Drosophila melanogaster: one gene and its partners. The protein of the gene in region 1 interacts with the protein of each later gene in a pairwise test. Each region holds a gene or a part of one and is shown in the gene's direction. Other genes may lie near its edges.

The links.
Region 2: the proteins of Jon99Ciii (region 1) and elB interact in a two-hybrid assay, tested with the Drosophila melanogaster proteins (one large-scale study listed by BioGRID).
Region 3: the proteins of Jon99Ciii (region 1) and Pez interact in a two-hybrid assay, tested with the Drosophila melanogaster proteins (one large-scale study listed by BioGRID).

What each region holds. Positions count from the first base shown.
Region 1 is NT_033777.3:29,920,469-29,924,106, forward strand, and holds Jon99Ciii (jonah 99Ciii), read left to right. Parts: upstream 1-1,747; 5' UTR 1,748-1,773; coding exon 1,774-2,571; 3' UTR 2,572-2,987; downstream 2,988-3,638. Other genes in the region: Jon99Cii (jonah 99Cii), read right to left, coding at 3,322-3,638. UniProt on the Drosophila melanogaster protein: Major function may be to aid in digestion.
Region 2 is NT_033779.5:14,407,835-14,411,592, reverse strand, and holds the start of elB (elbow B), read left to right. Parts: upstream 1-2,043; 5' UTR 2,044-3,156; coding exon 3,157-3,225; intron 3,226-3,758. UniProt on the Drosophila melanogaster protein: May negatively regulate Notch-induced cell proliferation in the eye-head primordium. May act in leg and wing primordia to negatively regulate body-wall specifying genes and thereby promote appendage formation. Required for tracheal development.
Region 3 is NT_033779.5:6,337,037-6,340,794, reverse strand, and holds the start of Pez (Pez), read left to right. Parts: upstream 1-2,123; 5' UTR 2,124-2,147; intron 2,148-2,301; 5' UTR 2,302-2,652; coding exon 2,653-2,737; intron 2,738-3,523; coding exon 3,524-3,758.

The sequences.
Region 1 (3,638 bases):
GCGACTTTCGATTTTCGAAGCCCCAGCAACGGAATCGCACCACTTTTATGCCTGAAAATCCAAATCAATACTGCCCAGTGGGTTTATATGTAAGTGAAAAACAAAACGTGCTAAATGGAACAATATTATCTGCTTATATTTCGATGAAATGATGCATACAGTTGAGATATGAAATTAAATAGGTGTCTAATATTTTGTACCCAGCAATATAGATCAATGCCCAAAAAAAAAATACGCACTTTGCATACTTTTTGACACCTATTCAAGCCGAAATTCAAAGCTACTTAATATTCAAAAAGTAGCATGAGGGTGTTAATTTGCGAGTAAATAGGGATTCATGGACTTGGGTTCATATCCTAGAACTATTCACCGAGAAAAGCCCTTAAAAATAGGAGAAAATGCAAGCTTTTAAGCTTTTGGCTAACCAACAGAGCCGGAAAACACACCACACCTGCAGTTTACAGTCGAGTATCTACCGAATTGAAATGATTTCGAATGCCTTTTGGGCACTGGGTCAGTGATTCTGACTTTGTGATTGATGAATATTGATTAATCTGCATGGGAAGTGGGAGGGGGAGGTGGGGTGGTGTACATCTAAGACCCAACTCGTCCTTGGCAGCCGAGCGTCTTGAGCCTTGAATGTTGAATGTTGCTTACTTCAGGGCGCTCGCAGGGCTTTTGTGTGTCAATGCACTTGGAACTAAATGCCAGCTCCTGGCTAAAGGCGGAGAAAAGGAAAAGGAACAAGCCCACTTTCACGGAGCAGCCCTTTGAGATGAATGTGTGTGTTCGAAAGGTGGGGTTCAATGGAGCTCCGGGCGGAATGGCATCGTACGTGTTCAAGTCGTACGGGGTTTTTAGCGGGGCCAATGCACTCCACACTCCACTCGCATGGCTTCCAAGAGAAGAGGAAGGAAGTGATGGTGGCCCAAGGAATTTCAAAATTAAAGTCACAGCTGTCGAGGGGAACTCATTAAGTGCGAATTAATTAGAGGCCATAGCTGAAAATACCTGGATGGCATTCTCGTAATTATATAAAGGTACTCCTCATTACACAAATGTGGCTAAATGCACATTCTTCTTATAAGTTCCCATTAACTAAATGCTATGTTGGGTTTATACATGATTTTCTGCAGTGTACAACTGGGTTGCACTCAATGATTCATTGGCCTCCAACAAAACTCCTGCCTTATTTAGCTTTTAAGGACCCTTGTGAGTTATGTGCTCAGTTCTCCACGAGAAAAGCGAAAGAGCTCATTTTCCCTGGGTTTGCGTAGCAGGTTGCACTTTCACTGTCTCCCCACCGGAAACCGTCAAGATTGCGGGATAAAATTCATTTTATGGCCATCTGTATTAAAATTATATCTCTAAGCCCTCAACATGATCGTAAAAATCTATAGTATCAATGCTGATTTGCTTTATGGCACCGATAAGATACTTATGTGTTTAAACAAATTGAATGTACCCACGTAGAAAATGATTTTATGAATTGCATCCGATGAGTAGTATTTAACATTAAATTTATTGTATTTTTAACTGATTCGCAAATCATTGAACACTGATAAGTTTACGTTTTTTATATTGCTGTACAAGCCTCTGCGTTGTTTATTTTTTGTCTTTTTGCTCCTATGTAATCTGGATGACATTAATTTACTGCCCTCCAGCTCAACATATGGGTAGTTTGACACTTGGTCAAGATAAGACAAGGGACTTCTTCTGTATATAAAGGCGCTTCGACATCGGAACACCATTGAGTTGCAAGACTTGACCAAGATGAAACTGTTCGTATTCCTGGCCTTGGCCGTGGCCGCAGCTACTGCTGTGCCCGCTCCCGCCCAGAAGCTGACCCCGACGCCCATCAAGGACATTCAGGGTCGCATCACCAACGGCTACCCAGCCTACGAGGGCAAGGTGCCTTACATCGTGGGTCTGCTCTTCAGCGGCAACGGAAACTGGTGGTGCGGTGGCTCGATCATCGGCAACACCTGGGTCCTGACCGCCGCTCACTGCACCAACGGAGCCAGTGGAGTGACCATCAACTACGGAGCCAGCATCCGCACCCAGCCCCAGTACACCCACTGGGTGGGCAGTGGCGACATCATCCAGCACCACCACTACAACAGCGGCAACCTGCACAACGACATCTCCCTGATCCGTACCCCGCACGTCGACTTCTGGAGCCTGGTCAACAAGGTTGAGCTGCCCAGCTACAACGACCGCTACCAGGACTACGCCGGATGGTGGGCCGTGGCCTCCGGATGGGGCGGCACCTACGATGGCAGCCCACTGCCCGACTGGCTCCAGTCCGTCGATGTCCAGATCATTTCCCAAAGTGATTGCAGCCGCACCTGGTCTCTCCACGACAACATGATCTGCATCAACACTGACGGAGGCAAGTCCACCTGCGGAGGCGACTCTGGTGGCCCCCTGGTTACACACGACGGCAACCGCCTGGTCGGAGTGACTTCCTTCGGATCCGCCGCTGGCTGCCAGTCTGGTGCTCCCGCCGTCTTCAGCCGCGTCACCGGATACCTGGACTGGATCCGCGACAACACCGGCATCTCCTACTAAGCAGTTGATGTTCCTTAATTCTGAGGGGTTTCTTCAATAAACGATTATAGCAAGCAACTCAAGTTCTGTTTTTGGGATGGGATTCAGATGTCTTCTTGCTTAAGTAATGAAATCAATAAAATATTTCCAAGTGAAGGGAAATATATTAAACTGCAAACGGAAATAAACTTATTCCGATTTCCGATTTATGTATCGGAAAAAATCAAGCTTTAGGAACACATAATGACGAACCATCGGACTATATGCAAATATATATATATGGATCATACGTCTTATTATTATGTATTATTATTATGTATTGTTTATAATTATTATGTATATTATGTATATAAAAAGCAAACTGGATTGAAAATGGTGTATGTAGAATATTGGACTTGTTATATTTGCAACATAATTAAAGTGCATAAACATAATATAAATTTATGTTATTATAAATAGCTGCAAGTGGACTTTCCTAGCTTAAACAGTTTTAAATATAGGAATACCCTATAGTCGCTACTAGCGTTCAACAGCTATCATATGGATAGAATATAAAAATAGGATATAAAAATAAGTTAAACAATCTCGTTTTAAAAACATTTAAGGAAAATATGAGATTACTTTTAGTTTTATAATATATGTACATTTAATGTACATAATAGAATATATAAATATTTAGCTCTCAATAATGTGCCCCTCAATCTACAACTGAATAAATAGTTTGGTCGAATTTTTCATTTTTGCTATAATCGTTTATTGAACATCAACTGCTTAGTAGGAGATGCCGGTGTTGTCGCGGATCCAGTCCAGGTATCCGGTGACGCGGCTGAAGACGGCGGGAGCACCAGACTGGCAGCCAGCGGCGGATCCGAAGGAGGTCACTCCGACCAGGCGGTTGCCGTCGTGTGTAACCAGGGGGCCACCAGAGTCGCCTCCGCAGGTGGACTTGCCTCCGTCAGTGTTGATGCAGATCATGTTGTCGTGGAGAGACCAGGTGCGGCTGCAATCACTTTGGGAAATGATCTGGACATCGACGGACTGGAGCCAGTCGGGCAGTGGGCTGCCATCGTAGGTGCCGCCCCATCCGG
Region 2 (3,758 bases), on another chromosome or scaffold:
GCCACTTAATTTTGTGGTTTACCCAGAGAGCGAAAACGACATATACTTTTTGTGTGGTTAATTGAAACTCGATTGTTTTGTGTTAAACCAGAAATGAGTCTATTAAGTCCGAAAACGAAACTAAAACCATATTGTGAAACAAAAGGAAGCTATAAAACGTTTGACTCTGTCCGCCATTAAAGTGGCATCTAAATAAACATTTTATGGTTTTTGAAAGGCGAAACTTTCAAAAGCTTCTTAATGAACACGACAAAAATCCACAATGGACGGGGGCATTTTATGAGAGCATCACCAAAAATGCTCCAAGAAGGCGTGGAGCAGCAGTGGCAGCTGTCAATATATGGCCGAAATATGTAAATTATTGATTGTTAATTCAAAGCGCCACGATTAGTATAATTGTGTATTTCTCTTTCAAATCCTAAACATTTTAATGCCATAAAGTTAGAGCAGCATTTCGCCTTTTGAATATTTAACCAATTGCGTGGTCTTGGTTGTGTTTTTACGACCATTTTTGCTTTTTACGATGATGCGGACCCAATAGAGCAATTTAACCAGAGATTATGACTCCTATATTTGATTTCTTAAATTGCCCTAACGTGGGAGCTATGATTTAGATATTAAACTGCATATGTACATATTAAGCATTAAGAGAAATTTAATCGGCAAACTTGAATTACAAATTTGTTTTTTTTTTATTAACATTTTTTAATGTTAAAGATGTTACGATATTACTTTCGAACATTCCATTCTTATTGCATTTATAGCATCTAAGTGAGAAACTAAAATTGATTTCAGTGTGCAAAATGAGGGATAAGTTCGTCTCAGACATTTCCCGTCATCATGTGCAACCCGAGATTTTCATTTTCGCCAGCTGTTTTCTGTTTACAGTGGGGAAAACTCTCTCTGCGAAGTGAGGGAAATACACCAAATCGTGTTCTCTCCACGGAAATGGTTCTCTCGTTTGGTGCTCTAAATCATATTTCCTCGGCTTGCAGTTTTTAACACATTCCCCAACCCCTCCTCACACACACTCTCACACTGGCACACCAACGAGCGCCACACACACGCCCACCTGCTCGTAAACAATTATGGCCGACGCCGTTCCGCTCTCCACACGCACACAGGCGCCATGGCTGCACACACATGTGTGGAAATAAATTCCCCACAAAACACTGTGAAACAACAACAACAGCAACAAAATTACCCAAAATGGCTACACAGAAGCGGCGATCGTCCAATGAGCGTGTTGGTGTCGGTGTGCCCAGCGTTGTGTGTGTTGTGTTGGCTCTATTTTTAATTTCCAATATTTTATTTACACATTTCTAGAATTTTTTAGCTTTGTACTCAATGATAGCGCGCAAAGAAAAACTTTCCAACTGGGCGTATACGCAATATTTAAAACTTATTGCTTGATCTAAGTGTGAACTTACTTGTGCTCAGAATTACAAATTTCCAAAAATCTTTCCCTACTATGTGTATAATAAATGTTTAAGATTTTATTTAATAATATTAAAAAATCCTTATAATTCTTGGTACATAAGTATAATATAAAAAAATGTTTCTTAAACAACCGGGTACCGTGATTACCCTTCATTTTATTTATCAAATTTAAAGCGGAAATATACATTTTCAAAAATATCCAGAAATTTCCGTTACTTCCCATCGTCAACACTGCTTCTCCGTCACATAGTATCCGTCTACTACTAACCGCCAATTCTACTACGCTTTTTGGCTCTCAGCTCCCACGCGAAATTCGCTGCCTCAGCAAAAAGCATGCGCGCTCAGCAAAGAGCGCAGAACTAAAAACGTTTGCTCTCGTGCCCCAACTACTTCGCTCTTTCGCTCTCGCGCCCTAAGAAAAAGGGGAGCGCATGGCCTCGGACAACAACAAAAGCACACTTGTTGAAAACGAAAACGGCCACAAACAACAAAGAGCGAACTGGTTTTCAAGCGAGCGCGAAACTACTGAGAGAGCCGATTGGAGAGTGGGGGTGATACGAAAAGAGCGAAAAGGAGCGTGCACGTCATGTTGTTTATAGATTTTTAGTCGAATTTCGTTATTTCACGTTTAAAGTTCGTACGTGCGCTGAACGGACGGACTGCTACGACCGGAGTGTTGTGTTGTGAGTGCGAAAGCGTAAAATCGGCCAGGCGGATACATATGCACTTCCCCCAAACGCAAAAAAAAAAAAATTTTCAAAATATATACGAGAAAGTCAACACAATCGCCTATTTTTTAAGTCGTTTTCGAGTGATCCTTGTGCTTTATCAAAATTAGACTGAGTTTAAAACAAAGTATACATGTGAAACAAAATTAGCTCAGTAAATAGCAAACTTTTGGATAACCCCACGTTCCCGGAACCATCTAATAACGTACGTGCCTCATCATAAAACGCGCCCTCAACGAGGCATTCGAGCGAAACCACTAACCAAAAACGGCCAAGCCAAAGAAATAAATAAAGTACATACATACCTATGTATATCTAACAAAAGGAAAACCCATAAATGAATACATTGTAAAAGCCCATGCGTGAATCAAACGTAAATATTGTAGATGCAAGCCAGCAAAGAAAGTAGTGTGTAAATTCTTTTTTACACACATATGTATCGTGTACACATATAAATAATAAATACCGCTGAGGCAATTATAATACTTAATGAATTTATTGCACAATTAAAGCGAAGCCAGCATATCACAACAACAAATTAATATGCCGCTGGCGTGAAAGTCACAACTCGACGCATGAGAAATCCCCCCTGCGCCACAGCACTGAATTATTAATGAAATCGAATTACAAACAAAGCCCAGCAAGCATCAGCAATAACGATTGCGAATCGAAATCGGAATAAATAATAAAAAGAGGAAAAATAAAAAATAAACACAATAATAAATTATCATAAATAAGTACTCACATCAACGAGAACCGCGAAACGTGGACGGCTTAATCAGCGAAAAGTCAGGCAGCTGGAAAATATTTCAAGCAAGGCGCAGGCGCCGCTTTTCACACGAGTTGGCAGCACACGCCACATAAATTGGCACTTACCGTTAAGCGCACTGCCGTACTTTGCGGTCGGGACAAAAGCAACAACCACTCAACACCTCCACCGAACCACCAAAGAAAAGCCGTCAAAGTGGATTTAACAAATTATAATAAAATGCTGCAATCCAGCAATCATCATTATTTAAGACCGGATTATATGACAGCTGCAGCTGCCCCAACAGCGGTAAGCCCATCTCTTTGTCTCATTTTTGGGGTTTTTGGGGATAATTCTCACAAGGTATTTTATTCGGCAATCAGAAATTTATTGCGTTTATATGGACTTAGCGCTTATCGCCTAATACAGCTCAGTGATTATTGCGATTTCTTTTTCAGTGAGTTGGTTTAGCTATCTAATATGGGATAAAATATTAATTGAAAGGGATAGGTATCTGATGAACAGTTTCGGTTAAAAGTCATTAAAACTATTATTTCAAATATTGATTGGTCTTAAAATTTAATAATATTCTTAAATGTTGATAAGAAGACGTAAATTTCGTATTATTTGTTTTCGCATTCTTCACACTCTCTTCAGAGATTATTATTTCACTTTGGTGTTCCGATCGTTAAGTAGAACAAATCTTGTTAAGGGTTAAGTTCTATATATATCAAAATATGAATAAGAAAAATGCCAGAATAGTCATGGTTTAAACAGGATAAGAAGAGTAGTACAAATTCTAGCAATAACACCCAATTCGCTACGTTCGATTATAAAACTTG
Region 3 (3,758 bases), on another chromosome or scaffold:
TTCCAAAAATGTTAACATAAATTCGGTTTCTTTAGTTTTTTTTACGAAACAATAGATCCTAACTCGTTCAAATGTGTATATGTTTCCTCCAAAAACACTCTTTATTTGAGTGCTTCTTTTTCTAGTTTACGACTAAGTAGTTAATCTAAATGAATGAGATGAATGATCTTGGTTATTTCTGCTTAGCCATCTATTCAAACAAAGTTTACGATCTAGTCACAACAAACGCCCATCTAGTATCACCCTACACACTTGTAATGTGCGTGATAACGCTTAGAATCTCGCTTGGCATATGTGATTTTAAAATTCCCTAAACACGATGACACTCTCGAATTACTCGTCCGAATCGACGGAGAATTATAAAGTAAGCATGACTATGCATATTTATTTCGCGCCCAAGTGGCTTTCGTTATCATAAACCTAGTTTGGCTGTCTGGAAAGGATGAAATGTAACTCCGCGCTCACTTTAACCGAAGTCCATTAAATGTAATCCCATTACGGAACCTGCCCTTTTAATGGTTCTTTAATTGGAAGAACTAATAGTCTAGCTTTAATAGGTAGGTAACCCTATAATGGGGTGTCATAACATATAATATAATATATTTATTTAGTTTGTCTTTGAACTTGAATTTCAGAGAACTAATTTTTATCCATAAAAGTTCTTAGGAAGTGTACAACAATGTACAATTTTTATATTTTAACTGATTTATATATATGTAAATATGTATGTACGTACATACCTAGACTTGCAGTATCTCCTACTAAGTTCTTAGTTCTTTCAAAATGGAACGATTTTACAGAGTTCAGTTATACAAGGCAGCAAGAGTATACACACTTCGGCTTTTCGAACTAAGCCACTTTCAATTTCGTTGTAGTAAATTTTGATACTAGGATTTTGTTTACATCGTCATTAATGTGTGTGTGTTTAATTAGCATAAAACAATATATCGGTTGGCTTTTTTCACAAATTGTTTTTAATAAATTGGAAACTAAATGCAACGCCAACTCCAATTGGAAAATGTGTAAAGTTGGTGTACTTAGGATTTTCAAATGTTGATTTTTTGAATAAGGAAAGGCAGGTTAACGGAAATTAAGAACATAGCTTCGTCGCTCATATCGAGTGCTTACTGTACGGGAAGCAGACAGTCGACAGCTGTTCTCAGCGGAGAGCCACGAGCAGAAAAGTAACTTGATGGCCGATTGGCGACCCGAGTCGCGTTTTTGGTTATGCAATTCGGCCTACGACTCGGTTTGAGACGTGAAAGGCGGCGATACAGCGTGCAAATAGCGCAAATTAATAACAGAAGTGAATTAAATTAAATTACACGCAGCGCGGACGGAGTGAGCGAGAGCGCACTATCGCACGGGCGGCGGCGAGGCTGTGCGAGAGCGAGAGGGAGAGGGAGACTGGGCGAGCGCAGCAACAGGTACTGAACTTTAAACTCGCTCGCAGGGCTCTTCTGTGTGTGTGTGTGTGTGTGAGCGAGCGAGTGAGCGATACGGTTGCTCCATCATCTGTCCTCGTCGCTGCAACCTTGACCGCCAATGCAGCGCTCGAAATATCTAAGCAGCAAATTAATTATGGACTGGATTTCGATTTTGGTAATCGGGTTTTGCTTTTTGGATTTCGACAGTGCGTGGCCTTGTGATTCGGCTCCTCGAAACTCACCGATCGCGATCTCCGACTGCGCTGCTCCTAATCCTCTGTAGATAGACGACGATCGGTGGATGTGGATGTGGATTTGTGCCCCGTCTCTGGTGCTCTTCCTGTTGCAGCCCCTCTCAGCAGCTTGGCAGACGTCAAAGCCCTTGATTTAAATTCGCTTTATTCAGTTACGCAGCGGGGCGAAGCCACGATCTTAATTTTAATTCGCTTTATTCGATAAAACGTTGACGGAGGGCGGCAAGTGCAAAGGGGAAGTGACGACTACCACGGCAGCAGCAGTACTAAATTACTGAATTCCAGAGGGACCGTCGTCGAATCGCGGTGTGGATTTCTCAGTTGCGCGCACTTTCCAGCACTGGAGTTGGAACGGATAACAGAGCTATGCCAGCACGCCACCTATGTGTCCAGTAGCTCTGTTAAGTTTGATATTTTACTGTTCGCTAGAAACCGTTATTCTCTTGCTGTGTACAACGAAGTATTCGTGTGTATCAGTGGTTTTAATATCTTTAGGAATTTTATTTAATCACTGCTGACTGCATTGTTATATATTTTAAAATATAAACTGTTTTGTTTCAGTTACATATTTCTTGGTTGCACTTGTTTTCTTTAACAGAACTAAACCTATTTTCTTGCAGCCCACTGCGCAAAGACATACCGATAGTCAATGCCGCCTATCGATCCATTCGATGCCAGCCACCGAGATACTCAGTCAGCACCTGCGTATCGATATCAGCACTTCGGTCTCTTCGTTTTATTTCTCGTGAATTCCTTTATTTATTGTCGTTAACTGCCCAATTACTATCTTTAACTTTACTTAACCAATACGCGCAGTGCTCTGGTTTGCGTGTCTAATCAGCTGATTCAAATCGGCTAATTCCAATTGAGCAATTTACTCCCCCAAAAAAAACCTGTGGTGTCGATGGTGCTGCCGTTTTAGCCACTTTTGTGAGCCCAGCGGAGCCCCGGTGGAGCAAAATAGTCGAAAAATGCCATTGAAATTCTTGAAAAAGTGTCGCCAGTACAATGTTACGTCCAAGAGTTTGTTTGTTATATCAGTGCATCACCTGCTGGGTGAGTAAGCCCCACATTCCTAGAGGCGCTACGCCCCCCACAACAACAACAGCGACAGCAACGACAACAACAACAACAGCAATAGCAACAGTGGAGACGAGACAATAGAAACAACAAGAAATCGGTGACAAAGCCACAACTTAACAGCTGCCGTCTGCCATTGCAATTGGGATTATTTAATTGGGAATGTGCACAACGATTGTCATGCGGCGCCCACTTCCAGTTTAGCTGGAATTCGCCTTCCAAGGCACAGACCACAAAAATGCCTTCACTTGTTGCATTCTAGTTAACAGTCGCTGAGTTAACAGAGGCGCACAGGACACATAACAGCGACCGTTAATTCTAAAACTAACAGACTGCCTATGAGAACTTCCTAACTTTGCGTACTTCACATTTTGTATATTATTTACTCTCGATTTTGGGCTAAACAAAAGCATGTTTTGTAGTTCTTATACACTTAACCGAATGTACTTATTTGGCAAGCGAACTGAAGACCTTGACTCAATTAAAACCACCCAAATTTCTCCAACCATCAGAAAGGTTTTAGACATTAGGCCTACGTTTCGTTAGTTAGGAAATACGACAGATGAGAGAAGCCAATTGAGCGGCGCCGCCACAATTTCCGTCCATAAAACGTATAAGGTCTCGAAAGAGATTATAAACTTTATTTGCATATTTGCGCGTGCGACGGGCAGGGCCAAATTGTTGTTGTGCGGCGAATTTAGAGTGCTTGGAGCGACTTAGGCCGATGTTTGAAGCACGTTTTCACTCTTACCTACATTGCAGACACATCCAGCACAGTGGACTGCACGATCAGCTCGGAGAGCAAGGGACAGGAGTGCCTGGACAACGTTTGCCAACGTTTGCTAATCCAGCAGCCGGAGTTCTTTGGACTGCGCTACCTGGTCAAGGGCAAGGACAAGGAGGACGAGTTCAAATGGATCGACCTGGAGCGCTCGCTCAGTCGGCAGCTGGAGAAGTATGCGGCGGGCCCCAAGATCTACTTGCGCGTTCGCCACTA